Drosophila melanogaster: one gene and its partners. The protein of the gene in region 2 interacts with the protein of the main gene of each other region in a pairwise test. Each region holds a gene or a part of one and is shown on either strand. Other genes may lie near its edges.

What was found.
Region 1: the proteins of CG7191 (region 2) and Pex19 interact in a two-hybrid assay, tested with the Drosophila melanogaster proteins (one large-scale study listed by BioGRID).
Region 3: the proteins of CG7191 (region 2) and CG10336 interact in a two-hybrid assay, tested with the Drosophila melanogaster proteins (one large-scale study listed by BioGRID).
Region 4: the proteins of CG7191 (region 2) and Oatp58Db interact in a two-hybrid assay, tested with the Drosophila melanogaster proteins (one large-scale study listed by BioGRID).

Annotation. Positions count from the first base shown.
Region 1 is NT_033779.5:12,089,167-12,097,227, forward strand, and holds Pex19 (peroxin 19), read left to right. Parts: upstream 1-2,655; 5' UTR 2,656-2,960; exon of another isoform or gene 2,961-3,192; intron 3,193-4,521; 5' UTR 4,522-4,695; coding exon 4,696-4,744; intron 4,745-4,827; coding exon 4,828-4,945; intron 4,946-5,011; coding exon 5,012-5,315; intron 5,316-5,381; coding exon 5,382-5,545; intron 5,546-5,602; coding exon 5,603-5,846; 3' UTR 5,847-6,069; downstream 6,070-8,061. Other genes in the region: CG6712 (uncharacterized protein), read right to left, coding at 6,070-7,254; Mt2 (methyltransferase 2), read left to right, coding at 7,420-7,480, 7,530-8,061.
Region 2 is NT_033779.5:7,764,876-7,775,058, forward strand, and holds CG7191 (uncharacterized protein), read left to right. Parts: upstream 1-2,752; 5' UTR 2,753-2,842; intron 2,843-6,386; 5' UTR 6,387-6,444; coding exon 6,445-6,730; intron 6,731-8,193; coding exon 8,194-8,375; intron 8,376-8,589; coding exon 8,590-8,783; intron 8,784-9,325; coding exon 9,326-9,521; 3' UTR 9,522-10,158; downstream 10,159-10,183. Other genes in the region: CG46025 (uncharacterized protein), read left to right, coding at 1-279, 339-491.
Region 3 is NT_033779.5:18,686,160-18,692,537, forward strand, and holds CG10336 (uncharacterized protein), read left to right. Parts: upstream 1-3,368; 5' UTR 3,369-3,551; exon of another isoform or gene 3,552-3,617; 5' UTR 3,618-3,634; coding exon 3,635-4,558; 3' UTR 4,559-4,747; downstream 4,748-6,378. Other genes in the region: msl-1 (male-specific lethal 1), read right to left, coding at 1-967, 1,028-2,266; CG10383 (uncharacterized protein), read right to left, coding at 4,958-6,021, 6,086-6,378. UniProt on the Drosophila melanogaster protein: Required for normal progression of S-phase. Important for cell survival after DNA damage or replication stress.
Region 4 is NT_033778.4:22,219,402-22,226,694, reverse strand, and holds Oatp58Db (organic anion transporting polypeptide 58Db), read left to right. Parts: upstream 1-3,195; 5' UTR 3,196-3,230; coding exon 3,231-3,370; intron 3,371-3,425; coding exon 3,426-3,655; intron 3,656-3,714; coding exon 3,715-4,035; intron 4,036-4,095; coding exon 4,096-5,263; intron 5,264-5,319; coding exon 5,320-5,503; 3' UTR 5,504-5,515; downstream 5,516-7,293. Other genes in the region: Oatp58Dc (organic anion transporting polypeptide 58Dc), read left to right, coding at 1-70, 149-378, 449-781, 1,288-2,150, 2,212-2,663, 2,718-2,892; Oatp58Da (organic anion transporting polypeptide 58Da), read left to right, coding at 5,831-6,012, 6,068-6,297, 6,351-6,665, 6,729-7,293.

The DNA of each region.
Region 1 (8,061 bases), 4.3 Mb from region 2:
CGTGGTCCATTCCATCCTATCCCATCTGAGCTGAATCTCCCAGAGCGAGTCCTTTCGCAGGAGTCCTGTGACCGGAGCGATCGTAAATCGCAATCCCCGCTAAAGCATGCAAACAAATAGCGGCAAAGTGCGAGATTAGAGGGAAAGTCGCAGCAGCTTAGATCCTGGATCCTGGCCAGCCTGTGTCCTGGATCCCGTCGATCGCCAGTTGACTTTTTCAAATATTTTGGAAAAGTTCTCGAGTGTTGATCGCCCGATTATAGCGGATAATCGCATTACAGCCCGACGTTTTATTGATCAACAATTGTAAACGATTTGCCATGGCCCATGGCAATCTGGGTGGGTCAGGACGAGTCGGGCCAACTCGGAGTCCATGTCCAGGTAGTTATCGAAAAAATGCTGCGGCTTAACGCAGCCCACGCCCACTCTACGACAAAAAGTGGGCGGAAAGCTGAGGGCCTTTCCCGATCTCCGGGCGATTAACCCTTGCTCTTGGTAGCAGTTTAGCCGGGCTAATTGAAGGCATTAGTTGTTTGTGGGTCGCGAGCTGGCTTCCCCGGAACTCCATTGTCCTTAAATTAGCATCTCTCATAGCATATATACCTTCGATCGCAATTGGTGGAAACTTCGCGCCTCTGCCCACAAACGTTTGGTTTTGGCACTCCAACCACATGACATTCGTCATGCACTCAGCGAAAATACTTAGCAAATGTTGTTCATGCAAAGAAATATTCATATTCTGTATAATTATTGCTTAAGAATATATATTTTTCAGTACCTAAATGTATAAGAATGAAGAAGCTATAAATTAAATAATAAATAGTTAGTTAGTTGAAAGGGATTATCTTCCTGTGTATTGGGACGTCACAGAGTCTGGCTGAATTTTCGCCGATCATGTAGGAAGTGTCCCAGGGGCAAAAAGGGGAGCCCCTGCCACATACACCCACTTTCGAGAAACTCATTAGCCTGGGGCACAACAAACCCGGCAACTCGGGGCACAAACAAACCAATCCCGAGCCCAATCGACTGCTAAACGCTGTCGGCACACATCTGAGAGACGGCGACGGAGGCCAACAAATTGATCATTAAACAGAAGGCGCAAATGTAGGCGCAACCCATCGTTGTCCAACAGAAGATCGTAGCATCGGAGCATCAGGTCGAGATCAAACACCTGGGCCCTCGACCTGGCGAAGAAAGTGACGAGGCTGCGACGTCAACAAGATTAATTTGTTTTCCGGCCGGGTTCCATCTCCATCCAGAGTCACAGAGCCACATCCACATCCATATTTCCCAACTCAGCCGGCAACCTGTTGTCCAGTTCCCCGATTTGTAATTGCCCTGCTTTGTGGTAGTCGATCAGGTTCGATCGCGGATCGATCATATACTCTACTATAATGGACAAACTCGATGGATGGCGAAAGAACATCATTAGTTTTCTCGGCGTAGAGTCCACAAAGTAGGTGGCGTTTTTCTCACATCCCGAGTGTTTCTATGGAATCTCGATTTGGAGATGTTGGATCTTCTCTTCGGCGGCGTTTGTCCATTAGCCACGGTTTGCATCGGATATATGCGAATTTAAATAAAATCATTCAATTGTTTCATTAATCACTGGCTACGGTCGGCGTTTTCTATTAAAAAAAATGCATTGCCAATGGAAAAATTGACTGCAGAGACCGTGATTATTTATACATTAGTGGGAAAGAATCTTCAGTTTTATGCGAAGAGCTTAAAAAGTTTCTCATGATGTCCTACTTAGAAGTGGTTTTATGTTTTAGCAATCTATAATTTCTATGAAACTTAATTGGGAGTAATTCCTAACCACTGTAATAAAAACTATTTGACCTGAGGAAGCCAAAAGCAGCTCTTGAGCCACCAAATCGATTGGGAAACATAAAACATATATGTGCTGCAGTTCACGATAAAAAAAAAGCAGGGCATGGCGAATTGGGAGGCTGCAACCGAAACGCACACTTAATTTCCGCTTAATCAAACAGAACAGCGACTGGGGGGGCACAGACAGAGCAACCCACATCATCTGGAGTCGGCTACCCTTCGACCCAATCCTCTAGAGGAAAACGTATGGCAGACGCAAGGGCTCATTTGCATGGCCACTTTGATGGAGAGCGATGGGTGTCGGAGCATGAAGAGCTCGCCCCATTGCGCAATGGTTGATGGTGGATGTTGTATGTTGGATGGTGGATGTGGGTGTCTTGTCTTTCGGGAAGCTGCCAGCAGTTGACTTCTCCAGTTCTTCTTTTCGGGGCAGGATTTCAAAGGAAAAGTGAGCGTTTTCCAGGAATGACTGGGAGCCTTGTAATCGCAATTACCATGGCCAAAATATCAAAAGATAATGCCATCCTGGCCAGACACAAAAATATGTCGAAACATATATAAATATCTTATATTTTGTGATACTTGAATGATTAATACAAGGTGTACTAAAGCTACAAGTTATTTTGAATGTAATGTAACATTCAGATTTCTAGAATCAGAGTTTAATTTAATTAGTATAATTTTTTTATTTTAAAGAACTTTTATTCCTTTTATATTACATATATATTACATATATTTAGTGTCTTAATTTATTTACTCCTTTATATATACTTATTATTTACACTTTATTACCATAGCCACACGACACCAGCCACAATATAAATAATGTGTCTATAAAGTCGCAATCATCGTCATTACCGAACAATCGCGAAATCCATTATATCCTGTTCAGTGCATCGTAAAATCGAGCATCTTTCGCTGGAAGGATGCGGAAATGTTGAAAAAAATAGCGATGCGATCAGCGAGCGTGAAATCGCAGTCAGCATATGAAAAGGATGTACAGGATCGTATCCTGGCAAAGTTCCTGCAAAAAGGAAGGGAAGTGTAGATGCTTGTGAAGACGCTGATGGGCATTTTATGACGGTTGGAATCCTTCCTCTTCTGGGGAAATAGAGCTGGAGATTCAGGTAAATTCAGCTAGTCTAGCAAACCGATTATATCGGAATAAACAACTTTATGACGCGCCTGTTGGTGCCTTAAAAATTATGTCAAAAAAGAGCGAGTTTCTTGGTTTATTGGGATCGGGTGTGAGTGTGACCCAAAAACCATTGTTTTGGCCAACGAAGGGGTTTTTACGTTTTCGACTTTTGTTTTGACTTTTTGACGGTTGTCTTGACTTTTTGAACTGAACTGCTTGGGTTCTAAGAAATTTGAAGTTGAACTATATACTCTGATGTTCGCAGCGAATAGAGAATGAAATTTTTCCCTAAAAAGAGAGTTATGGTTTTTAGGGAAATTTTTGATGTTATATGTATGCATATTCTGTAAATGGATTACAGCCCATAAAAAGTCAAATTACCCTGTTTCTGTAGGAAATGTAAGAGTTTCAGGCGGTTTGTTCCACCCTAAGCCGCAAAATAAAACACCAAATTATGCATTATTTCAGTCGAAGCTCCGCCCATGCTGACATTTTCAGAGAACCGACTGACCGAAGAAAACTCCGCCCCAATAGTGGAAATAGAGGAAAAAACACAAATTTACCACAATACTTCGCTGCGTGGGCGTACCGAATCGAAGATTCGTTTTGCTCTTCTGGTAAACCGTGCGGTTAAAGTCGCAAAGAGCACAGCCCATCCCAGCCCAGCCATTTGACCATATGAGCGGAATTGAGGAAACCAAGCGGGGTTCCTCCGCAGCGGTGACCTTCGGGCGGGAGTGGACCTAGAGCTGGACGCCCTACTGCAAAATCCATGTGTCCCGTCCATGGGTGTGACGTTCTGGTTTCGGAATTGGTCGCGCATCAGCGTCGCGCCGTGACCTTGATGGTTTTGCGACCCCTCCCTCACCACTCAGTATGTGCGGTTTGGGCTCTGGTCGCAGTTTGGTCGCCGATCTCCGTCCGCGCACAGCGAGGTGCCATTCCCGGGGAGATTGGCTGAGAGTTTCGCAGAAGATGCGTAAATATTTTGGGTGATTATTTTAGATAATCTTCGACTAATGTCCTTGGTTTGTCTCTCAAGACAGGAGGGATATTGAGGTGCTTCGAATTTAAGTTTATTAGTCTGATGTAGGCCTAGATTTAAATATGTACACTATTATATTGTAGATGGGTGTACTGATGACTTGTTGTTGTAAGACATATAATTTTCTAAATCAAAACTCGAAATTTTCATTGACAATAAATATATGTTATATGAATTAAATGGCTAGACATTTTCACACTTATGTGTAGTCCACAATAATAATGCATTCCAGATTATTTCGAAATAGGTATTCTGAACTTGTTTTGAACTTTATATAATAGTAACAAATAAGAATTCTTAATTTAAGGAATATATTTACTAAAAATTAAACAAAATATAGCTATTTTTCTTAAAAAAAACATTAAATGCATTTAAAAGTTGTTTAAGTAATATGAATTTTGTCTAAGCCCTAACCGAAACTGAAATCTTAAAATTAAAACCAACAATTATATAGAAAAGTTAATTTTTAAATTTTTTTCTTATCATTTCGCATCCTTTTAAAAAGCCGTTACGAATGCGGTCGCACTAAGATGTGAGTCAGTGTAGCCACACCTGTTCAGCTGACTGCGGTATGCACCAGCAGCAGATGAACGGTCCCACTGATTGATTCAGTCAGTCTTTATTTTTTACCATTTCCCACCCACCACGAAATCAAGGAAAAGCATCCCGAAATTGCACAATGTCCGAAGAAAAGAAGAATGGCGATGAATTAAACGACTTGCTGGACAGTGAGTACAGCCCGGAAATGCCTTTGGCGATCCCTTCTCGACCCCTTACATAATGCGCACTGCGTCGTCCACTTTTCGCACAGGTGCTCTCCAGGATTTCGATAAAAGTGGTGCCGGTGACCAAAAGGAGCCGTCCGCATCATCGGATGTGGCGACCAACGCTGGACCTGAGGGCTCCGAGGATCCAGATGCGTTTTTCATGTGAGTCAATGCGCCAGTGCAACGCGGCACTTGAACTTTGTATTCTGACCTGTTATCCGCCTTCAGTGAGCAGGCCAAGGTGCTGGCCGATCGCATGAACACGCTCTTCGGAGGTCCGGACACGCCCAGTGGCGATATTCCGCCGCTGCCCCAGGATCCCGACCAGATCATGGCCGGTTTCAAAAAGATGGCCGAAGCGGCAGCGCTCACCTTGAGCGGCGAAAATTCGGCCACCGACGAGGATGTCTCCAAGTATTCTGATAGCATTTCCCAGGCTCTCAAGGGTCTGCAAGAGGGCTCCGAGAACCTGGCTGCTCCCGCCTCGGAGAACGACATAGCCAGCATGTTTGGTTCACTGAATCTTGAAGGGGTATGCATCCTGAAAATGAAATATGAATTCTCCTTGCTCAATCATTAAACAATCCCCGTTTGACAGGCTGGCGAGGGTGATGGAAACATGTTCCTACCATTCATGGAGGGCATGATGCAGAGCCTGCTCTCGGCGGAGATTCTGTTGCCCAGCATCCGGGAGCTGCTGGAGAAGTACCCCAAGTACCTCGAGGAGAACGACGCCAAGCTCTCCGCTGAGGACAAGGAAAGGTATGCTCGAAATCAACTCGCAATAAGATACTTTTATTGAGAAACCAATACATACAGGTACCAGAAGCAGATGGAGCTGTACAAGGTGATTGAGGGGCATTTACAGAGCGAGAAGACCGAGGATTCGGCCGCCGTGAAGCGAGAGAAGTTCCGCGTCGTGCTGGACGACATGCGCAAACTGCAAGACTACGGCCAGCCGCCGCCAGAGATTCTGGCCGAGACGGGCGGCGACTTGCCCTTCGGCGATCCCACTGCCGGCGTAGCAGCCGGCGGTCCCGGTCCCCAGTGCCCAACCATGTAGTGGCTGACGGAGCACGATAGTCTCGTGGTGTGCCAATTGGTTAACTGTTGAGTGTTGCACATTTTTTAGGCTAAGGCAAATTTGTATTTTATTTTATCACCGACAAAACAATACGGCGGTCGCTAATGGTTATCACCTCTCTCTTCAATCAAGCTATTATTTTCGTATTAACTGTTGGTTTATTAAGTAGTTCTATACCTAAATACAATGCCTCGAAATACACCTAGAGGAAGAAGCGACGTCGCGACTCCATGGCGTGCCGTTTGTTGCTGATTATCCAGGCATAGTCACCGGTCTTGCTGTCGAATGTGCCCTCCTGCAGGGAACGTAGTTTCAGGGTGAACCGCGGCCCCAGTTCGCGCAGCTTTACGCGTTTTCCCTCTTTGGTGAACTCGTAGCGGTGGTGACGGAAGAATATGTAATCTCGCTGATTGTGGAACGTCACCGCTCGGCGGCCGCGGAACTCGGGATCGTGATGGAAGAGGGCACCCAGCATGCGGCCCACGGTCAGACCCAAACGTGTGGTAAAATTGTTCAGGATCACTTCGGGCCTGTGCTTGGTTATCTCCTTGTGATCGCGCTTTATGTCCGAGGTGAGCTTCACGTTGGACAGCTTGAAGTGGGCAGTGGGACCATTGGGCAGATGAATGACCAGCAGCCCATTGGGCTTTCTGCGATCTTCGTTAACGATCACGACGTCTGTGAACTCCTCGCGCTCGGCGCTTTTGCATATCTTCTTCACCGACGACTTGTTGCGAATCTTAACCAGGGCGTTGGGGAATATGCGCGAAAGCTCCAGTCCAAACTTACGCGTCTTGGTCACCGGATTGTCAGCAAAAGTGATCAGCACCTTTGGCTCGTACGAACGTTCGAAGTACGAGCTGAAATCGTCCAGTTGGAGTTCCTTTTGCAACTCCTCGTTGTCGGAATCGTTCAGATTGGCCACCTCTGTTTGGTCCTTCTCTCGCAGGCTCTCTATGGTGTGACCAGGATTGGCGGGTACACCAGCCTTCCGTCGGGCACGGCGCTCCTGCATTTTTTTCTTGTGCTTCTCCTTCTTCATTTTTTTGTACAACGCCAAACGCTGCTCCTTGTTGCGCATCCAGCTGAGGGGATTCAAAACAGGAATTCGTGTCTTCTTGTCGTCGTCGTCGTCATCATCCTCTTCTTCGTCGTCGTCGTCATTCTCCTCCTCATCGTCGTCATCATCCTCTTCCTTTAAATCCTCACTGGCTTCCCCTTGTTTGGCCGTTTTTTTGCTGCTGGAGGCGGCTTCTTCATCGCTGCTATCAGTGACTGGCCCCTCCTGGACTTCCAAATCCTGTGGCTCCTCCTCGTCAAAGCTGGAATCGCTGTCCGAGTCCTGTTCCACGGGCGGAGGGGCTGTTTTTCGCTTAATTTTTATCATTATTCCGAGAGAATCACGAATTCACAAAAATGCGAGCGGCACGTGTTGATATTCTTCTTCTTATACCAATCACACGGAAACGCAGACAATCTGCTGTGTGGGGCAGTGTTGGAAAACGTGCCACTCACAACGTGTAGTTTGTAAACAAAAATATATTTAATTAAAATGGTATTTCGGGTCTTAGAACTATTTAGTGGCATTGGCGGCATGCATTATGCCTTTAATTGTGAGTTCGTCGATCATGATACATGCGAAACTAATATATACTTTTGAAGATGCCCAATTGGATGGACAAATAGTTGCCGCCTTGGATGTCAACACCGTGGCCAATGCGGTTTATGCGCACAATTACGGCAGTAATTTGGTGAAAACTAGGAATATTCAAAGCCTGAGTGTAAAGGAAGTCACAAAGCTTCAGGCCAACATGCTGCTGATGTCCCCGCCATGTCAGCCCCACACTCGCCAGGGATTGCAAAGGGACACGGAAGACAAGCGATCGGATGCACTTACTCATCTGTGTGGACTGATCCCAGAGTGCCAGGAACTGGAGTACATACTCATGGAAAACGTCAAGGGTTTCGAGAGCTCACAGGCGCGAAATCAGTTTATTGAATCGCTGGAGCGGTCGGGATTCCATTGGCGGGAGTTTATTCTAACGCCAACGCAATTCAATGTGCCAAATACTCGATATCGCTACTATTGCATCGCCCGCAAGGGTGCAGACTTTCCATTTGCCGGTGGAAAGATCTGGGAAGAAATGCCGGGTGCTATAGCCCAGAATCAGGGTCTTTCACAAATTGCCGAGAT
Region 2 (10,183 bases):
AGCGGGGAGATCATTATGCCACAAGAACCTTCGATGGAGGACGATGACTTCCAGGGCGGCGCAGTGAACTCTAAATATCTGGACGATGCCACCGATGTCTCCGAGGAGACGGTGATCAGCGAGGATGCCATCAGCCTGACGCTGGCCAAGCAGCAGTACGCCGAGGAACTGGAGGCCGAAATGGAGGACGAGTTCAATCGAGGTCTGCTCATCTCCAAGCAGCAGTACGATCAGCTGCGCTTCGAGGATGAGAAGATCGTGGCGCTCAGAAATGCCAAGGTGAGTCCATCAAAATGTTCACATTAATTTATATTTTTATACTATTATTTTTCGATCAGGATATTCGCGAGCTGTATCAACTGGCCGAGGAGATCATCATGGGTGAGAACTACGTCGAGGCACCGGAGGAGTGCGAGGAGGAGGCGGTGGTGGAGGAGCCGGAACAAGATATCTCCTCCGATCACGAGGCCCAGGAGCCAGCCAAAGCCTAATGAGAAGCTATAGAATAAAACCATTTTTTACGTTCGGTGGACAGCGGCTGGTCGTTTATCCTGCTGCACCAGTTTTTAGCGAGTTCTACAATATTTGGCAAAATATTTGGTTTCCCATCCATGAGAGTCCAGATATTTCACCAAATCGTGCAAACATCAATTAGGCTGGGGTACCTACCACAGTTTGTTAGACGTCGGAAGAGGTAGCGCAATCGAAAAACGTTAGCTAAACTGTCACTCAATCTCAGCGTTTAGGTTGATAACTTGATAACTGTCAATGGGGTTTAATTAAAGCTGTAACGACTTGATTGTACCCGCATGACAACAAAAATAAAGCGGCCGAAAAATCCAAAAACAAACGCGTGAGTCAATTGCACATTTCACTCGCCAACGCCCGACAAGTATGCTACAAATATTTGCTCAGCGATACGGATATGCGTAACGGAAAGATATGCGGGCCAAATAGTGTTCTGAAAACCGAATCCTCGAAAGAAGATTACACGGAAAACTAATTTAGTAAATGATAAGGTCCGCTGAGTTTTCATGTGTATAATGATTTTTGGGTAATGATTTATTTTATTTATTTTTACAAATAAATGTATATGATGATATATATTAATTTCATTATAACTTCATAAGAAATATATTTATATATGACATATCAGGCTCTGTTTCCCGGAACACCAACCACAAATTTCAGAGTAATTAGCTGCGCTAATTTGTTTATCATTTTGTTTGGCACGTCGGCACATGGCGAGATTGCATGTGCCAAACCAGAAGGGCGTGACGCATTTGGATGAATCGGTGGCCATTTGGGTGGGTGGACTTCGGACTGATGCAACTTAAGTCGCACAATCCGCTTGCCATAAGGAGCGTAAAGTATGAAGAAGTGGAGGAGAGCGAACGAAATAAATAAAGACGACTATAAATAGCAGGTTCTGGCCAAAAATATGACTTTTGCCGCGCTACATGAGGAAGCCTCCATCCAGTGACACTTTCCCCTGCCCGCGAGCACTTAAACTTTTCAGCGGGCTATTATTGGTTTTCTCTGCGTAAGTGTCATCTTCTGTTGCCCCAGGCGATTTTCAAGAAAACCCTATATATGCTTATTTTCCCGGCCCGCCTTTTAGGCCAAAACAACACACAGTCACACACACATACATACACACACTCAAAACAATAACGAAAACATCGAAGGATCGTTTGGATTGCCCTCCATTACTAACGGCAATTTCACATTAAAGTGTCATCATTTTCAAGGCCTGCGGGCTGCGACGGTTGTTGACATCCGACTGGATGGATGTCCAGACCCTTCGATTCCTCCTCTGCGATTGCCGTGTTCCTTTTGGATTTGCAGTTCAACTGGGAGTCGGACGGAAAGGATGGACTATTGGCCGAGGCCATTGCCGTTTAAGTTTAGGCAGCAAATGTTTTAAATATACACATTAGCTATAAATATAAAATTTGATTATTTTTTAATAAACGCCAATAGAAGGTAAAAAAAAAACAGACATCAAACCCTTTCGAATTAAATTTTATGAGTTTACCACATTTAAATAGATTTTTTATCTTTTTCCAGTATTTATCAGCCTGACTGATAGGCTATATCATCATCGATCTATAAATATAATCGTTGCCTAATTCATAAGTGCAGCAATATGACAATACCATTTTGCACTGGAATATGACAATGCAATTACATTTAGGCGATTCGCTGGAAATTTTCAAATACATTTCCAAACTACCGGCCTGCAGGGATTTCCGCAGCGTCATGCTTGGCAGGTCCTTTGAGGAACTTTGAGACCTCCCACAGAAAGGCGAGATTCCGAGAAACGAGTGACCCGGACTATTCAGAATACGTTTCCGTAAACAGGGCCGTCAACAAAGGCTTCTATCCACCCCAACCCGCAGATAATTTATCACCTTGCCACGTGACGTCTTTTCGCGACTTGTTGTCTACTTTGCGGCGCATATCGTGATCCTGCTGAATAATTGCCACCGACATTATTCATTCGCGAATATCGCGCTAAACTTTTTAAATGTCCCCAAAATATTTCATTGATAAAAACGGCCGTGGCTTCGTTTTCCAAGGAGGAGTGGCCAGTAAAAGCTTGTTTGAAGCTTTTACGCAATTTTTGGCGCCTTTACATCGGCTCGTTGAAATCGACGCACTCGTCATCGGCCGACGATGGCAACGAATCGGTTTCAACTTCGGATGCGGCCTTATAAAAGGAAGCGGCTCCGCGAGTCAACCACGCAGTGTTCAACAAGTAGTAGGTGCAACAGTTGACAGTATTCCGATTCTGATTCCGATTCAGTAACTCAAACGGTTTCCAGGAATATATTTTAAAGTGAGTGTTAACGGTGTATTTCGAATATCAGTCACGCCAAACTCTTTAAGAAGTTTCCAAAAAATATCTTGTGGTCTGTGTTTAATTTAAGCCAGTCGATTTCATAAAAAGGATAACTAAACGTGACGTGAAATCTTAGTAATGCCGTCGCTTTCGTCATCGATTACAGTGTCGTCAATGAAACTCGAAATACGCGCCTAAAAAAATAAATAACAATTTGTGGACATATATTAAATATGCCAAATAAGAACAGGAGAACTCTTATATTTAAAACTATTAAGTGAATTCGTTCTTAATAATACAGAAATATTTTTAAGGCAAAGAAAAGCCAGCTAAAACTTAATTCATTAATTCAGTACTTTTTCTTTGGTAAATTATTTTAATCTGCTCTTATATTTTGAATTGTATCAGAAGATATTTAACACAAAACTACCTTTGGCTTAAAACTGAAAATTACCATAAAGATAGAGCCTAGCCATTGTAAGTTCTCTTCAAAAATAAAAGTAAAATTTTCTTATTTTATTTCACCAACGCTTTTTACAAGAAAACCCCATTTATATGATTAATTTTATATATTATACTAATCTTGTAAATGTTTAACTACAATAATTTATTTTTATTAATTTATTAAAGTTCAAGCTTTTTAAGCACAGAGCATCACAGCTGAACTAGTTAAATTTAAAAATTCATTTCATTGCACTGGTGAGCTTACAAATTTTGGGAAAATTGGTTTTAAGGTTACTCGGGACAGCAATCCATAAATACTTTATCAATGTCAATAACTCAAGGAATTCCCACCAATGCCAAACACAAATGTCAATAAACCAATGAAAATCTAGGAGAAACAAATAGAAAAAAGCATCAATATTTGTTGTCCCCGACCTCGTTCTCTGTTTCAAACCCCTTAAGTTCCACGTGCAAAAATTCCTGACAATCGTATAGAAATTTAAAAAAAAAAACTGAATCAATCGAAAGCATTCCAAAGCTGTTTTCATGTCACAAAAATTCAGCATCCCACAGGATTTTCTCCTGGAGAATGTATTTACTGAAATTGGTTGTGCTATTTCTTTAGACATAGCAACTGAAAAGTATATCTAGAGGTATTGACTTACATTCCGCAGGCTATACTTTTCATTAAAGATTAGTACACGATTTTGTAGTTGGCGAGGATTTAAAACTGCAAAAAAAATACTTATGAATTTCATGGAATTTTCTTGGCTAGCACCCTTTTTTTGATTTTTCGTAGCAATCATTGCCGTCTGTCTGGTCCTTTGGTTTGGCTCAAACACTTTGTGTAACCTTTTGTGTGCAAATTTTGACAAGTATCCCAGATGGTCGGATTCAATAAGTAGAAAAGTTATGTAATATCCTACCCAGGATTGTTACGCACGTAGACCGTGTCTAATTGGCCGGACTCCGGCGACAAAATGTCCGATGCACTTGACCAACTCCACATCCTTAGCCCTAATTAAGCAGTTTTTCCGCCACACATGTCCAGGTGGTACGTAGGCGAATATAGTGGCAGATAAGGCCTATGAAAATTCCTTTGGGTTCGTGTGCGTTTCGGTTACACTTCAACTCAATTTAGCAATTAGCTGTGCGGTTATTGCGAAAAGGAAAACAGGCGACGGGTAAAAATGAACGTACAATTATATATGGGTTCCTGAAACTTCCCTCGCTTCCAAGTTAATTTCATTTTACCTTGGGGACATCGCCAACCAGGGTGAATTCCCTTCTTTTGCTTTTTTTTTCCTATTTTTTGTTTTTTGGGCTCTGTCCACTTTTTGACACTGTGTCAACAAGTTAATTAAGGCATTTTAACAACGATTCGTGTTTGCTTTGTTTACTTATAATTCGTTCTCTCCGCAGCAATTTCGAATAAGTTGTGCTTTCCCAAAAATAACGCCAAAGTGTCGCCCACTTAAGTGAGTGCCAATAAAAGAGGAGTAATTGAAAAAGTTTTCTTGCAGGAAATGCCCGAAGAAATTGCAATTTATTTCCAAAATTAATACCAAAAAAAAACAGGAAAATCGCAATGCACTTAAAGACCTAAATCTACGAGAGAACATTGTTCGCAAATATTTTGACAAAGTTGCAAATTTTCAATTGAATTTAATCAAAACGTGACGAAAAGTGAAAAGAAAATCATCCACAGAGAATTTCTCTTTCTCCGAGCAATTTTAATGAACCAAATGCAACCGTCTTTATTTTTTTGAGAGGGCGTGACAGAGTTGATTTGCTTGATTGATTTATGTGGTTAACTAACCATATAAATTGAGCTAATTTCAATGTATTTATCTGTGAGGTAGAACAGATTTTCTGGAAAATATTTTAATAAAGATTAATATTATTAAATTATAGAATTATGTAATAAATTATAATTCCTTAAAAAAACAGACGCTTAAACTTTCGCAGCAAACAGCGCTTTAATTATTTACCAAGCCCTTAATTAAATAATGAACTTTGGATTTCTTGGTGAAAATTTTCACACTTTTTTGTCGAAATTTGTCTTAGGCATACATTATTTTCAGTTGCTTGGGCAGACAAATTAAGCCGATCCTAGACATCTCAACCAGCGAGACCGCAAGTGCCAAAAGTTTCAGGCAACTCATTTATATTGCTCGTCAAGCGAATGTTTTTTAAACGCAAAAAAATGCGATAAGGTTGGCGGGTTTCCCCAAAACCCCAACAACCAGGCTCCTGAGCTAAATGGGCTAAAAATACGCTGCGAAGGAGTTAAGCCCACTCGCTCACTTCGGCGACGTCCCATCCTTAATTAAATGAAACGACAAAGCGCACAGAGTGGGCCCAGTATGAACCGCGATGCAGTACCTGACATAAAAAATATTTATAAAAGCACACAAACACCTACTGCACAGTGGTGGAAATCTATGCGAAAAGTAATAGCATTCTTATCAATTTTAATTAGAAACATCTTTCGTTAAAATCTACAAGAATTATAGAGTAGCTTTCATTTGTCTATAAATAAATGGGATGTTAAAAATTAGGCAGTACTTTTTAATATTCGAATATTAATATAAATATATTATTTTTCTGATAGTTGAATTGTGTAATTTCTACTTTATAAACAACATACTGCATCCGTCTTTGTTATTAACTATTTGTCTGCAAAGTACACAACCTTTATATTTTTACCCAATTTTTAAATAACGGCCTTAGTTAGTGGAAAAGGAGTAGAATTTGTTTGCCCGTATGGCCCACGGTTCTTCGCGCGAAGAAAGATTAAGCAGGAGCGCAAAACAAAAGCCCCAGAATCAGCCGCCAAGTTATCCAAGAGACGCCCTTTTGACGTTTGGCACCCACCGCCCATTTCTCCAGTTTCCCTCGCGATTCTCCTACTTTTGGCGGGGGTTTCTTGGTTGCTTGCGTGTTTATCTGAGTATTGTTTGCTTGAGCACAAAGAGACGCCCACACGCACGGCATAATGGGGCGGATGGGGTAGGTATCCATCCCATGGCCGTGGTAGTGACGGTAATTACCCTCTTGTACAAACATCTACGCTTTTTTTTTTTTTGCCTTCCAGAGACATCCACATCGCCAACGACCCGCGCACTAATCCCGAGCTCATCCGCAGAGGCTGTATGAACATGAAGCCCGACATCCTAGCGCTCTGCATCCTGGCTACCACGATCCTGTGCAGCAGGACGCGTCACGTCGCCGGCTTCCTGACTGCACAGTCCACCGCCAGCGGAGGAGCAGGCGGAGCAAACGGTGCCAAAGTGGGTGACCATCAGGGCGTGGCGTCCGTACCACAACGTCTTCATTTGCCCGTTCTAGCGGTCGGGGGCGGACCCGTTCGCCAAGGACCCGCTCTGCCCGGCGATGTCCTGGATGCCCAGGAACGAGCTGTTTACGATCCCGGCGATGGTGAGTCATAAACATCCCTATTACCGCTTTCCTTGCCATGGTAAACTTCCCGGGCATCAGCTAATCCCCAGTCGAATTAAAAGGATAGCAACTGCATCCAAAGACCATTTCAATTAAATTGTTATCGGGTTCTTTTTGAATGCGAAGACGTAATCGTGGTCAAGGTGAATCCTATAACCAAGCTATTCCATCGCCCTATAAAAATATATAGACCTTATTTATATTAGCCAAATTAATAGGCATTCTGATCCATAAAGCTGAGGAACTGGAACTGAATCTGTTCAGGAACTTTAATAAATGAACTAGTTATTTTGTTGTCATTTAGCTATTTTTCTAAAATATTTTCAATATTTAATGGCAGTTATGGCCTCCTATTTACTCCTCACCTGAGTACATGATTACGTTCAAAATTTTTGCTTGCCGACTTTTAGGCGACCCATTCGAAAGGGGTGGACCAAGAGTTAGGGTGACCCATGGCGTGCACTTAGCCGTAACCGTCGCCCACCATCTCTATCCCTAATGGCCATGGTGACCACCGCTCGCTGAACATTTTCGGTCAGTGCACAATTTTTCAAGTGCCTCACATTGTTGACCATCGCACAATATGTGGAGCATGTGTTTGTTTGTGCTGAGCACTTAAAACGCCCACCAAACTGCCCGGGATAGATTTTCAAATTTGTTGACGAATTTGATTCGACGTTTGCGTTTTACGTTGCTACCACCTACCTTCTACCAACCGGCAATAAAATGTCATATCCGATTTTCAATAAGCGAACTTGTTTTCCAAGCGATTTGATAGATGGGTAAATGGATTGGAAATTTAACGAATATCGATTTGGTTTGAGTTGGTAACATTTGAATTTTTGGACATGATCTTATAAACATACATATATGAAACAAAAATTTAAATTTATTTCTGTTTCTGATCTCGAAACTATTTATTTCAATTGAGGAGTCCTTAAATTTAAAACTGTAAATGCTTTGGGTTCATGAGCGTCCGCTGTCTGCGGCTCTTTGAAGAGACATCGAGTGGACAGTGATGGGCAGACTGGATGCCAAATGCGACAAAAGGCAGTCAAGGAGTTGCAGTGCCTGTTGACTTGACTGACGGACGTGGTCGAAAAGCCGAGAAGGCTTCCCCTGCCGCGGAGGGGAAAAGGAATGCTGTGGCCATAAACTCATTGCCGCCAGTCAATTTCCGCCAGTCCATTGAAACGACCGAAGAGCCGGGGGAAAACATATTCCAGCCAACCAGGACAGACAGACAAACAAACTATTCAAACTTTCAAATATCAAACGGCGGAAGTTTCCGATGGCAAGGAGCAGGAGTCGGGGAATTAAGTGGGAGTGGGAGTGGAAGTGGGAATGGGAATGGCAATGGCGTGGTTGTGGTCGGATTAGCGACAGCTTGAATAAACATTCAAATCGCAAATAAGGTCTTTGGCTTGCTCATTTCACGGCAGAATTACTCCGCGCCCAGGAGCTCGGATTGGCAGTGGTTCCTCAAGGTCCCGACTACGCGGATGCGGTGTACAACGAACTCGAGCTGGCCAGCAAGTTCGAGGTGCTCAAGAAGATGGAGGAGGATTTGCGTGCCGAGCAGGAGCTGGTGGACAAATCCGCTTTGCTCATGAAAATGCTGGAGGTGAGTGCGAAGACAGGCTGTCGAAATTTCGATGAAAATGTTGAAAAATACACGGTAAATTAAATTTTTTTAAAATATTAAACATAAACATCAAAACATATTAGCTTTTGCTTATAAATAACTTTTTGAGTAATGCATACTTAAGTGATAATATTTTTAATTTTTATTAAAATTTTAACACAATTTTTTGATCTATGTGCATTTTTTCGCTCAGGATCCCTCATTGGAAACCTTGCCCTTGGTCTACGTGGAGGAGGAGGAGCCGGAGGCTGTGATTCCTTCCGGCGGAGCCGAGGACTACGCCGACTTGGAGAACGCCGTTCAGGATTTGGTTTTGGGCCAGAGCAAATCCAAGCGTTCGCGCTACTATCGAAGGTATCCATGGAAGCGTCACAACAAGAATCGCGGGTAGGTTGCTTTTCTATATTTAAACATTATTCACAATAATCCGAAAATCCACCAAGCACTATACTCAGCTCCATTGACCGCTAATTAATCGAACCCACTTTTCATTTGTAGTTAGTAAATGTTGTCAGTAGTCTTTATGCAGTATTAAGTAGCATATTTTTAGAGCTTAGAACGGAAATCCTAAAATTGCCAATTTCAATACGTCTGCTTGGGAATGGAAAGATTTAATTTAAAGTAAAAATGTGATAAATTCAATTGCAACGAATTGACGTAAATCAAAAGCATGAACCTCGAAAGAAAAAATGCAAAGAATGGCAATTTCAGGAGCATCCTTGCCAAAACGCCCACCCACCAAGTAGTCTATTGAATTTGAACAACTTAATGTAATGCATTTATCAGAGTCTCTTTAGGCCCGAAAGGCGCCCAGACACCAGACACCCAGAACTTCCCACCGCCCACTGAGAGATCGATTATTGATTACTGATTACTGATAGCCGAAGCGTGAACGATTTTGCTAACTACATAACCATTACCATTATCAGTTCTTACATGAATTCTATCAACAGCAACTATGAACCGGAATTGCGTTATGCCTGCACACCTAGTAAGGAGGATATATTCAAGCTGCTGGTCAATCTGCACGAGAATCGCAAGGGCAATCACAGCAAGACGGTTAACTTCTGCAATCGAAAGCGTCCGGCCAAGGCGGTCTTCACCAACATTAGGTTCCTGGGCTAAGGCACAGGATCTGGGATGGAAGCCATTAGCCCACACACACACAGACACAGACACGACACTGACAGACACATATGTATACCAAGCATCAATTGTACATTGCTGACAAAGTCGAGCGCTAAACTGGAGAACAACAAGCACTAACAATTAGCCTAACTAATTTACTAACTACTTAACTTAACCCGTCTAAAAGAGCTAAACGAGCTGAACTAAAAATACTTCGTTATCTCACTAGGGCTAGAGACCCTTGTAAGCCTCCCCTAATTCCAATTGTAGACAATTAAAACTTTTATAACTCTCAATGTCTTGTATATACTAACGAAATAAACAAAGTTATAGTAGCTCGCTCCCTTTTGTTAATTTCATTGTGGTCGTCGCGTGTGCTAATCCAAACAATTCCAAAACGTTGCCATATCACTCTAAAGTCTCGTAACGTCTTCTCGGTCCATTACACTATTATTATAATGAGATAAATGGATCCACAATCCCCAACGCTAAATCAGTGTGTATATACGAGAATATTGAAAATGTGTGTATTAATATATAAATGTGTACGTGTTAACTACTTACTAACTGAAACTATCTTTAATGTAAAGTCGAGAAGTATATATATATATTTCAAATAAACTTATGAAATACTATTATTCGTATGCAATTAAATGGTG
Region 3 (6,378 bases), about 11 Mb from region 2:
GTGCACTGGGTGGTGGATATATTAGATTTGTGGCGACTCTCTCTCTTATTTTCTTGAGCGTAACCTGTGACGAATGACTCTGGCTTAGGAGCTCCTTTTTTAAATGTTCCGCCAGTTTTCTTCTAACTGTTTCCACATCTATTTCTTGATCTGGGCTCTGAGACGTTTCCGACGTGGTCTTTTTATCATTGACCAACATACTTTTACTTTTAATGGTTTTCGTCTCGGGCGTCGAAACTGGATCAACGTTCTTTTGTTTCCGAATATCAGACGGGGCGGAGGAGCCGGTTCTCATGTCAGGATGCATTTCATACTGCCTGATCTTAACCTGCAAACGCTGCGTTTTTACAGGATCCGTTTGCGTCTTGGTGGACTGATGGTTGGCTATTACTTTTTGAGCGGGAGCGTCTTTTATGTCAGCGGTGTTTGCCTTGGGCAACGTGCTTTCTCGAGAGGATGTTTTCGTAACCTTTGGGGCTACCGCTTTCGGAAGGTGCTTAGGTGCATCCTCTGGTTGCCTTTTCAGAGTTTCCTTCTGTACCTTACGAACATCCTCTTGTGGTTCCACGCGAACATCCAGCTGCCCATCCTGCCTCTGTTCGTCTTTGGGCTGGTCCTTCGGTTTTAAGTCCGGCTTGGGAACTTCCAACTGATTCTTTATTGCATTATGATCAACGATGGCATCTTCCTGATGCGGCTGCTGCTTGGGTACTTCTGGGGACTCGGGGACTGATTCATGTTCCTTATCCTTTTTCTTAAAAGCCACCCACTTCGGGAGAATCGGCGCTTCTAATGCATCTACCATTGGCTCAGGCTTTAGTTGCAACAACTTTTCAGTTATCCGATTCTGATTTCCTTCTTTCCTTATCTCTGCCTGTGTCGAAGACTTCTGCTGGTGATTGGGAGTTGAATGGGCCGAAGGCGCACAGGTCTTCTCCTCCGTCGGGTCCAATTCCAAAAGGTAATTCTGAAAGAGTAAAGGATTGCTCGATATATTCTTTTAATTAAATAATAACATTAAACATACCTGATTCTGCCAGAGCTCTTCCTCAGTTCTGGCGTTTACATCCGCATCGCTATGCATCCACGGATAATCATCCTCTTCACTGTCATCGTCTTTATCACTATTCTCGTCATCTTCGTCGTCCTCGTCATCATCCTCCTCGATATGGCCGTTGGCATCCACGGACTGTCCATGCTCCTCCATATCAACCAGCTCTTCGGTGACCACTTCCATTTCAATTGATTCCAAAGCATCATGAAAGATATCGCCTCCAACGACTTCCTCGGTGTGCACTTCTTGCATATGCAGATGATCTTCCTCAGCGACCAGTTGGTCCTCTTCCTGAGATATTTGCTCCTTATGTGCCTCCATCTCGTGCTCCTCTGCTACTTCCGTTTGCTCGTGGATGTGGTGCTCGAAGTCCTGATTCATGCGCTGGAGAATAAACGTGCTCACCTTTTTACCGTTGAATTCACCGCGGCCTTTGCTCTCCGAGCGTTTGCTGGCTGGCTGATTCGTTACCGCTCCAGCGTGATGGTCCAGAGCGGGAGACTCCTTCATGTTGATACCCCTGGGAAGTGCATTCGCGAATTGAGGCTGCGCATCTATCGTTTGTGTGCCCTGTTCCCGCTCCCGAAACACAGTTTGCGTCTCAGCATGACAACGTATCAACTTCTGCTGCGGGGCAGCAGGTGGCAGTGGGGGATCATCGTCGTCGTCGTCATTGTCGTTCCTTCGCTGGTTCTTTCGCCGCAGCTGTTTGCATAGTTCCTGGTTGGCGGCCTCCAACTGAGCAACGGCCTGCTTTAATTCCTCATTCTGCGCCTTCACCACGCTCATCTTAGCGCTTTGGTCGTCCAGCTCCTTGTCCTTGGCCGCTATGCTGTCCGTCTGCTCCTGCATCAGGTTTAAGTTCAACATAACCATGCGCCTCAGGTTGTTGTTCTCCGAGATGAGCTTGACCATATCGGCGCCGGCACACACGGTTCCGCCGGAGGAAGGAGGAGCCATGGCTCCGCCACCATGCTCAGCTGGCAGCGAATGCAAAAGCTTTCGGTAGTTGTTATTACCCCCGCCATGTCCTCCACGACCATTGCCATATTGCTGGCGCTCATAGATCTTCCCGGGATGCTGATGAAGATGCTGCGTCTGATTGGGATGGCCGTGCAGATTCCTTTGGCGGCCACGCGACGGTATGTGGGGATAGGGCGATTCCAAGTAGTTGGCCCGCTTTTTGGGCGGCCACTTGAATCGCTTGTCCATGGCAGTCGAATTGAATCCCGTGCCGTCGGTCCTACGATCTCATAATTCTCCAAATGTTTTTGTTTTGTTTTGGTTTTGTTTGCGTCGCTTGGGGTGCACACAATCTCTTCAGCTGATACGCCGTACAATGCGTAGAATCCCGATTACAATTTCGCACCACACTAAATTTTCCTTGCTCGCCCTCGCAAAAGAACCGCTCTTTTCTTGGCCAGAATCTAATGGATTTATCGTTTTAAACGTGGCGTTCTTATCGCACGTGGTGACCGCATTTAGGCAGCAGTTTTTCGGTTCGTTTTTGAACGTTCTTTCACCGCTTTTTCCACAATTGTCCTCACAATGTAAAGTCGCCCCGAAAATGCTCTTAAAAGTATGGCGTTTTGCTGGCGTTGCCACTTTTCGCCAAAGCGCAGAGTTGATTGGGGGCATAGAGATGGCAATTTGCTGCGATGCACGAGCTGAGCACGACAGTCACGAAGTGAAAATATTTTCACGAAACTGTACTTTGTTGCACATAATAGCTAATAGCTAAGTTAACACGAGCCGACGAACTAGTACAGTTGGCTTAGTGTATGAAACATAATATCAAAGTGCTGAGACAGCATTGGGCCGGAGTCTTTGTTAGCTTTAAGAATCATTTTAAGTTTCAGCTTAAATTTGCAGTTACCAGAATAAAGAGCGGCAGCTCGTCAACTCCGACTAAATGTCGTTAAACACATTTTTATTTCTTACTCTGCCAGACCACAAGGATAGCAGTTAAAAGAGGACAGTTTCTCTCAACGTAAATAATAATCTTCCGTTGCTCCCCGGATAATTATTTTCAATTTTTATGTGGTATGAGTAATTGGAATGAGAAAATAGATGAAAAAGAAACTAGCTAGCTAATAATGTATTGATTTTATTTTATTTTTTTTGGTAATTTTATTACATTACCAACTCCTTTTAAATATTTCACTAAATTTAAATAACTACAATCTTTGGATGAATTATCCTTCCTTGTATAATGGTATAAATATAATAGAATAACAAAAACTCGTGACGCCAATGTGTCGCTTAGTGATAAAAAAAACGTGTCACGCTGCCATCTCTTATGTCTGCTGCCACCAATGCAAAAGCCGGGTTGGCTGTACAAATTACCTTTAGTGCCACCCACTAATGAAAATATGTCTAAGCAAATCAAAATAGCCTTTGGGAAAGACCAAATAGTTATGTAATCGGAAAATTAAAAGAACAAAGAGCTGTTCAGTTGGCAGCCCCCTGTGACTTATGCAAGCGTCGCCTGTGAATGGTAGATAGAGAAGAAGAACAAAAATTGGCGCCAAAATTTTGTTAGATTGTTTATTTGGTATTTAAGTTTCGGCCACTAGTTCTATGGCATCCCTGTTCGGAGATGATGGTGTGGATGACCTATTCAATGACAACATTCCGACTGACCCGGATCAGCTGCCCAGCGATGGCGAAGGCGAAAAGCTGTTTGCGGACGACGAGGACAACGGCGTAGAACCTGGTAGCCAGGATGCCCAGATAGTGGAGCCTAAGAAGCGAGCTGTGAGAAATCCCCGACCGCGACTCACTGTGGAAACACTTCGAGGTCCTCGTGGCATCCAGACCATCGAAGATTATTTTAAGGACATCAAATTCAAGGGCAAGGGTTACGAGAAAACCGATCTCGACGAGGTGCTTCGCCGCCTGCAGCACTGGGGCCATCGTATGTATCCCACCTACACCTTTGACGATGTGCTTAACAATATCGAACGGCTGGGCAAGAAGAAACCCCTCCAAGTGCACATGGCGCGATATCGACTCGGTCAGCTGGAGCAGATGCGCGCCCACGAAGCGGAGGCCCTGGAGGAGGCGCAGGATGAGCAACAGGAAGGTGCCGGCGATGAACCCTTTGATGAGTTCGACGCCCTGCTAGGTGAACAGATTGCCATGTCCAGGCTGGCGCCTCCCAGCCCGCAGCAGTGGAAAATGTCTACTGCTTCCAGTAACAGCACGCTGGCTACTCCGTCATTCTCCCGCGGCAATGCTGTAATGTCCACGCCGTACTCCGGTGTAAATGCGACCTTCGACAGAAGTGGAGCTTCTGTGGCTCCGGCCTTCGATCGGAATGGAGCTCCGTTGGCATCGATGGACATCAGCGACTATGGTCAGCCGCTGCCTCCCTCACAGCCTCCCACGCCGGCGGCTAAGAAATTATCCAACGAACAGATGGCCAGGATTGCGGAAAACCGCAGGCTGGCGCAGGAGCGACTTAAGGCCAAGCAGCAGCAGGAGAGCGGAAGTAAAAGTTAGTGTATATTTATGATATAAAAACGCATATTTTTATAATTTTCAAAGGATAATTTATAAAAATAAATGAATAAGCTACGTTGAAAGTTAATGCGCGGTACTTAATATCTAAATTGATTTTTCTGTACTTCGATCTTTGATGAATATCACTTTAAATATACCCTTAATCGTATTAAAACCACTCGCATTAGTGTTACACATGTATCTTTATTCAAACGTTTTAGTCGGAGACCGAGAATAATAAGTTAGGATTCGGGTGTAAAAAACTATATGGAGTGCTGGAGTATTTACAAAGATGAATGGTCATGATGGTGAGGGTTCGTGTAGAAAATACTTTACAAGTCTTTAAAGACTAGTCGGGATACTATTAGGGTACTGGTGTTTAGTGGGACTTGGCCCATCCTAAGTGCTAAATCTGAGGGCGACTCTGGGCAGCGATTCGAACAGACCCTTGGCTCCCTCCAACAGAGCAGCTACGATCTTGACAAGCACTACATCTTGATTCGAAGTGCTTTGTGACTGGCCATCCTGATCTTTGGGATCTGATCGTTCCTTAATGGCCTCGCGGATCACGTGCAATAATCTCTGATACAGAAACGATTGCCTGTAAATGGGCTTGGAGAGACTCAAGTGATCATCCTTCAGCAGATAGAAGTCCCCGAAATCTATCTTAGAGGACTCTTCGGTGACAATGCGCAGGGGGAACTTGAACGAGGTCAACATGGTAGGGGATCCTTCAGCTACACTGACCACCTTTACATGGCGCAGTAGCGTGTGCAAGCACCCCATAAAGCGGCGGTGCATCTCCAGCAGCTTCGGCGAGTTCTCTTCCATCTCTTTGACCTCGATTGATGGAGACAGGATCATCTGCATGTGCTGCTTCCACTTGGCAATTGGTGAGCCCCGGTGTGGGGTTCCCAAAAATACAATGCCTTTAGTGTTCTTGGTCAGCTGTTGGACCTTCGGCTCTTGGGAGTCCAGGGATTTTAGCAGTATTAGCTTGGTCAGCAGGCCGCCCATGGAATGTCCTATCCACACGATCGGACGATCGTTGCCCACATCCGACGCTGAAATCCTGTCGAGCAGTGTGTTGGCTCTCACATCAATGTGACCCTGACCCTTTTCACACGGACAGTATTTGGTAAAATTGGCAGACCACTCTGTGACTGCTGATGTGTAATCTATGCCCAGAATTCTGGAATCTGGATAATCATCTGGCAGCCACTCCATGGGCCAGCAGTTGGTGTACTCCTCACTTGTGTCCTGGTTCCGCCATTCGCTTCCGCACACACTAAATTTTCCTTCGCACTCCTCGTTGGCATTAAGAGGAACATCGGGATGGACCACTTCCCAATCCGAGTCCAACTCGGCTTCGTTTCTCAGTGTCTCCACGAACTCCTTGGTGGCAGCATCGCTAATGTTCAGACGCTGTTCCTCCACTTTTTTGCTAGCTTTCAAGACAGGATCTAGAGTTGGAAGTAAATTGTGAATTAGTCAAAAACAAACGGTAATATAAGTACTCTTATTTACCTTTGATTGTTTCTGTCTTTTGGTTGCCATTGACATTTTTGACCGCCTCGCCGGGTTTTAGTTTGCCTCCACTGAGTCTCTTCTGCTCACCCACCAGAAATACGTCGTCTGTTTCGCTGGTATAGAAGGCGTTTTTTCCGTAGAGACCCAGCTCAGTGGGCTTTCTATCTCGCTGACGCCAGGTGATAAAAACACCTCCCAGCAATCCATGGACGAAAACAATGTCTGCCTTTGGCTTCCTGCGGGTGCGAACTCGTGGATGCAGGGGATAGACATTTGGCGGATACGTGCAC
Region 4 (7,293 bases), on a different chromosome or scaffold from region 2:
TGGCGGAATCCCCGCTGGAGAAGAATGTTACCTGCGGCTTCTGGATATTCAAGGGAACGTTTTACCAAAGGTAAGTGGGCTCTAAAGAAAAGTGACATTCAAGCATATGGATTACAACATTATCCTTGATTCATTTGTAACCCTGTAGATTTGCCAATCAAACTGCTTACGTTTTACTTTACGGAATCGTGGGCTGCATCTTTTCAATGACATATGCCTACTTTAACGGCACGATCACCACAATAGAGAAGCGCTTTAAGATACCATCGAAGAATACAGGCATTATCTCGGTGGGAAACGATATAAGTCAGACCTTGGTGTCGGCGGTTTTGGCCTACTATGCGGGAAAGGGCCATCGGCCAAGATGGATTGGTTTTGGTAAGTTATATAGAAGGATATATATAATAATCGGAGGTTAACGTATAATTATCCTTTTATTACTGCGCAGGTCTTCTTACCATCGTATTTTTCTGCATTCTGACCACCGCACCGCACTTTCTCTACGGACCCGGCGAGGATGCACTTGCTCTGACCTCGGAGTTCGGCGGGATGCCCGATGAAAATGCCACAATGGAGGCTATCGAGGAGCAGCGATCCAAGACCCTATGCCGCTTGAATGGAGGAGGAGCGGAGTGCGAGGTCGGTGAAGGAAACTTTGCGCCCCAACTTTTGCTCTTCGTAGCGCAGTTCATATCTGGAATTGGAGGATCGCTATACTACACGTTGGGAGTGTCCTACATGGACGATAATACTAAAAAATCCAAAACTCCGGCTTTGTTGAGTGAGTAGCGCTAAACCAGTATTAACCAACCGGAATAGGAACTTACACAGCAATGATAGAGCAGGCGGCTAATCCCCTGTATCTAAACAGTTTTAGCCTCTAAGTGTTTACTAAGATTACATAAAGTTTTCGTAATCTTCCGAGGAAGTGCCGAATCATTAGGGCTGACTCAGTTTCTCATGGATTATGAGGTATAATAAAATGTTTCGAGGGAACATTTAAAAACGATGCATTGTTAGATACTTTTCGATATATAAAAAAATATATTTTACTCAGGCTTTCATACTTCAATAGAGGTCTATGTTTAACATAAGATAATAATATGATCTGTTTACAGACTTTGAAAAAATATTTTATTAGCGCCAGACAAACTAATGATGAACGTTTTGTGTTACTAACCTCAAAGATACGCTTATCTCGAAGAAGATAGCCATAATTTAATCACACATGAAAATGACTTCAGTAGAGGCTTTGAAAATTGCAATATTCTTTGCATCTATTTTAAGGTCTTTCATACTTTTTGCGCATGTTGGGTCCTGCCATTGGATACGCCCTGGCATCCTTCTGCCTGCGCCTGTATATCGCACCACAAATGCATCCGGTGATCAACAACAAGGATCCCCGCTGGCTGGGCGCCTGGTGGCTGGGCTGGCTGGTGATGGGCGGCCTGCTCTCCTTCTCGGGAGTTTTCCTCTCCATGTTTCCCAAAGAATTGCCCAGAGCAGTGGCCCGCCGGAAGGTGGAGGAGAATCGACGACGCGAAAAGGAACGACTGTCGGTGAAGAGTACGGAGAAGGAACGCCTTACTGCGGAACTGGATCAGAAGACTACCGCGGAAGCGAAGGCCTCCTTCCAGGACATGCTGAAAACCTTTCGTCGCCTGATCACCAACAAGACCTACATGTGCAATACACTCTCGAGCATTTTCTACCTAGTGGGCTATACGCCGTACTGGATATTCACGCCCAAGTACATCGAGGTTCAGTATCGCCAGTCAGCGGCCACTTCATCCATGGTCACCGGCACAGTGGCCCTGGCCTTCTCCGCCGTGGGAGTGCTGCTCTCCGGTTTTATCATCTCTCGCTATAAGCCGAGGGCTCGCTATATGGCCGCTTGGAACGTGATTGTGGGCTTCCTCACAGTTGCCGGAATCCTGGCCTACGCCTTCATCGGCTGTCCGGGAAATGAGAGTTCCGTGATCGTCAATATTCACGACAGCTCGTTAGCTGGCAACACTACCACATGCAATTCGGCCTGCTCCTGTGACTACGTCCGCTATTCCCCGGTATGCGGGGAGAACAACATGACCTACATCTCCGCCTGCCACGCTGGGTGCAAAAAGTTGCTCGTCAACTCCGAAGGAAAAAAGGTAAGTATTTACTTTGTTTAGCAAATTTTAGAAAAATGAAGCAGCAATTTTTTTTTGTTAGATCTTCTACGATTGCTCCTGCATTCCTAGCGATGATGCTGGTAATTCCACGAGCCAATTTAAGCGCCTAACCAGCTTCGATTTGAGTAACGATGAGGTTAGCCAGAACACCTCGGTTCATAGTCAGTTGGAGGCTCTAGCGAATGGACAGGCAATGCCCGGCGCATGTCCCGTAAATTGTTGGACACAATTTGTGGCCTTTTTGGCCGTGATGTGTTGCCTGAAGTTCGTGGGAGCCAGCGGCAGAGCCTCGAACTTCCTGGTTTCCGTGCGCTGTGTGCCGGAAAAGGACAAGACGGCGGCCATGGGATTCGGAATGACTCTGTGCTCGATGCTGGCCTTTATTCCTAGTCCTATATTCTTTGGCTGGGTTTTCGATAGGGTCTGTTTGGTGTGGGGCAAGACCTGCACAAATAAGGGAAACTGCTGGCTCTACGATCCGCTTTCCATGAGGTGAGCTTTAATATATAATGCTTAAATATCTATCTATAAAACTCGTTTCTTTAGGTACACTCTCAACTTCACCGCAGCTGTCTTTATTGCCATTGGAGCCATTTTCGATCTGGGGGTCTGGTACTACGCAAAGGATCTGAAAATCTTCGACGAGGACGTCAAGGAGGTGGAGATGAAGATCGTTCAGCACGAGGAGGAGGCCAACAACGAAAAGAATACAGAGATTTAGTCCTAAGTTATTATTACTCCTAAGTGCTGTGTGAGTGAGAGTCTTGGTGCCTTGATTTGTCAATATCCATGTGTGATTTCCAACGTAGAGTCCAGTACCATAATAAACGGTATTGCAACAGTAGAGCTCTGTGTACTCATATGGTAATTGCTGACAATTAACGACCAGATCCCGATTAGTAAGATAAAGCTCAGACGGACTTAGCTATAAACATGAAGGCCGCTATTCGCTATCTAGAAGCTTATTTTGTTTACCCCCAGAGGCAAGTTAATTGTATGCAGCTTGCAGCTGAGTTTGGGATTCAGTCTTTGGCAGTAGTTCGACAGTGGACGACCATCATGGCCAGTGAAGAGATCGAAGCCTCCAAGTTTCTGAAGGATAAAGAAGCCGGCATAAATGTGGCTGATGATGAAAAGAGGTTGAATTCTTCGGATACAACATGTGGCTTCTCAATTTTCAGGGGCCCCGCCTTACAGAGGTATATTATTCAGTGCTCTCTTTCGAGTTTCTTGTGATACCATCTAGATCTTTAGATTTGCGACTGCTCACATGTTCGTGATTGTGTACGGGATAGCTAGTTGCTTTCTGGCCATGGCCTTTACCTATTTCACTGGAACCATCACAACGATGGAGAAGCGCTTTAATATACCCACCAAGATATCGGGTCTCATTACGGTGGGCAATGATATAAGCACGGTTTTCTCGTCCGCCTTTCTGAGTTACTACGCTAGTCGAGGACATCGTCCACGCTGGGTTGCATTGGGTAACACACCTGAAATCACCGAATTGACTTCAGATAGCCAATCCTTTGCACTGTTTTAGGTCTCATCATTATAGCCATTTTCTGCCTGCTCATGTTGACCCCTCACATTTTCTACGGACCCGGCGAAGAAGCTTTGCGGCTGACAGAAGAATACGGAATGTCCGAATCCTTCGGTGCTTCTCTAAATATCACCGAAAAGAACGACTCACTGTGCCATGAAAAAAACTCAAATTGTCTAGAAAGAGCTGGGGACTACACGCCCATCGTGCTGTTCTTCATTGCCCAGTTCATAGGTGGAATCGGGTGTTCCCTCTTCTACGCGCCAGGTCTCTCGTACATGGATGATAACTCCGCAAGTTCCAAGACCCCAGCAATGCTAAGTATGGGATGGGTATGGGGATCTTTATTTTATTTTCACTTCCATTGTATATTTTGTAAAGGCTGGAGCTCCTTTCTGCGTATGCTGGGTCCTGCTATGGGCTTCTCCATGGTATCCTTGTGCCTCCGGCTGTATATCGATCCCTTCAAAAAGCCACTGATTACCACAAACGATCCGCGCTGGATGGGCGCTTGGTGGATAGGTTGGATTCTCCTCACATTCATCCTGACTATCTCAGCAGTGTTCGTGGGCATGTTCCCCAAAGAAATGCCAAGGGCCAAGGCCAGACGCTTGAAAGCAGATGGCGAGGAGGATATTCCGCTGGCTGGACGCTCCTTTCAGGATATGCTGGACTCGCTGAAACGATTGGCCTCGAACAAGGTGTATGTCTACAACATGCTGGCCTCTATTCTGTACTTGTTTGGCTACATGCCGTACTGGATATTCACCCCGAAATACATTGAGATCCAGTACAGGCAATCGGCATCAACTTCCACAATGGCCACAGGAACCTGGGCGTTGGGATTCTCTGCCGCAGGAATTTTGATCTCTGGATATGTGATCTCCAAGTACAAGCCAAGTGCCCGGGCAATGGCTGCGTGGAACTTCGTGGTGGATTACTTGACGGTGGCTGGCATGCTGTGTTATGTACTGGTGGGCTGCGACGAGAGTGATCGGGCCAATTCCCTGTCCATCGTGCCCACCGGTGACAGCTGCAGTGCCTCATGTGTCTGCGAGTATGTGTACTATGCTCCGGTTTGCAGTCCGGAAAATATTACCTTCATATCTGCCTGCCACGCGGGGTGTACCGATAAGGCCATAAATGAGCTGGGAAAGACTATATACACAGGTTGTCGGTGCATGGGCAACGTTTCTAGCATAATCTCTCTGTCTAATGTGACGTCTTTGGCATCCCAGTCTCAGATCGCCATGGATGGAGCCTGTCCGGTGGACTGCAACAAACAGTTCCTTATCTTCTTGGCCGTCATGTGCTTCCTTAAGTTCGTGGGCGCCACTGGGAGATCGAGTAATCTGTTATTAGCCCTGAGATGCGTTCCCTCGAAGGACAAAACCTTCTCCTTAGGTTTCGGCAGTATGGTGTACTCCGTGCTGGCCTTCATTCCCAGTCCCATTGTGTTTGGTTGGATGCTGGACAGCTATTGTCTTGTATGGGGAAAGACCTGCAGCTCCAAGGGTAACTGCTGGATATACGATACGAAGTCTCTCAGGTGAGTAGATCCCTAATGAAAAAGTGTAGAAGAAGTTAAGGCCATCTTTCCTTCAGATACACCATGAACCTCGTGTGCGCCTCTCTGATTTTCCTGGGCAGCTTTTGGAATATTGGGGTCTGGTATCATGCGAAGGACATGAAAGTCTTCGATGAAGACGAAAAAACGGTGCAGGCCAAACAGAGCGACGATATAGAGCTGAAGGAAAAGCCAAATGATGTTGTTACTAAAAAGAAATAAAAGCTTTCATACAAATTTTCTTTTTCTTTTTATCTATGTACATATGGGTACGTAACCCGCAGGTGGTAAAATGTTTGAGCGAGAATTTCGCACGTTTCCAAAATAGATACGAAAGAATGATAAGGAATCCCGTCAATTAAATGTTCTTAAAGTATATTTTCCATGTGTGGTATATAAATGTCGCTCGTCTGATCCCCACTGTCTAATCTGACAGACTTGATAAGATCTAAGGCTGTTTACCCATGCGATGCAGTTGGGTATATTGTTGAGCGATTTGATTAAGAGCGAGTCAGTGTGTTCGAGTTGTTCGCAGGTAAAAGTTGAGACATGACAGAGGAGCGAGGAAAGGTAGACTTGGAGAAAAGTGAAACTTTGCCCTTTATTGAAAAGCCATTTGCAATATCGGATAAAGAAAGGGAATCTGCTCCAGAGAATGAAACGGAAGGAGAAGATGGTGGAAAAGACACTTATTGCGGTTTCTGGATATTCAAGGGCCCCTCCATGCAAAGGTAAGCTCTAAGGTACTCTACAACTACCTTCATGCTTAGGAATCACTCTCTCCAGATTTGCCACTGAGCATATGTACGTTATTCTATATGGACTAGCTGGCTGTGTTATGACAATGACCTTTGCGTACTTTAACGGGACTATAACGACCTTGGAGAAGCGCTATAAGATACCAACAAAGGTATCCGGCATTATTTCGGTTGGTAACGATATCAGTACCATGCTAACGGCCGCAATCCTGGGTTATTATGCGGGCCATAGGCATCGACCTCGCTGGATGGGTATAGGTGAGTCCAGATCTGTGTCACTTGATTTGCAATACATATAGTGTCCCATTTAGGGTTGCTTACCATCGTGGCCTTTTGTCTGCTTACAAGCTCCCTGCATTTCCTTTATGGAGCTGGAGAAGATGCACTCCAGCTAACCCGAGAATTTGGACAGGTTAACGAAACATTGACGAATCAGGAGCGGGATAAGAAGTTGTGCCAACCAACTGCAGGAGGATGTGTGCAGGAGGAGGTTGGTCTGTGGGTGCCCCAAGTGTTTCTGTTTGCTGCTCAACTAATCTCGGGAGTGGGTCAGGCTCTGTTCTATACCCTGGGCATAGCCTACATGGACGACAATACCAGCAAGGCCAAGACACCTGCCATGCTGAGTAAGTGAAGGACTGTACGAGTATGAATTCCTTGAGGTATCCCAAGCATTATCACTTCACCAGGCATGTCTACCTTCCTAAGGATGCTGGGTCCAGCCATTGGTTACTCCCTAGCTGCTGTCTGCCTGCGCCTATACATTGAGCCCACCTTGGAGCCACTGATTGGGCAGGAAGATCCACGCTGGTTGGGCGCCTGGTGGCTGGGCTGGCTGGTCCTGGCTGCAATTACCTTGGTCTCCGCCATTCTGCTGTTTATGTTCCCCAAGCAGCTGCCCAGTGCCAGGAAGAGACGCCTTCAACTGAAACAGGATGAAAGGAAACAGTCACTGCCACTGAATGAGCGATCCCTTGCCGACATGATGAAGACAGTCAAGAAACTCTCGAAAAACAAGGTGTATGTCTACAACACAATGGCATCCATACTCTACTTCTTTGGCTACATGGTCTACTGGATATTCACTCCCAAGTACATCGAAACCCAGTATAGACAATCAGCGGCCATGGCAACCATGGCAACGGGAACAGTGGCTCTGGGATTCTCTGCCGCAGGAATCCTCATCTCGGGATACGTGATCTCCAAATACAAGCCTAGTGCCAGGGCAATGGCTGCCTGGAACGCCATTGTGGA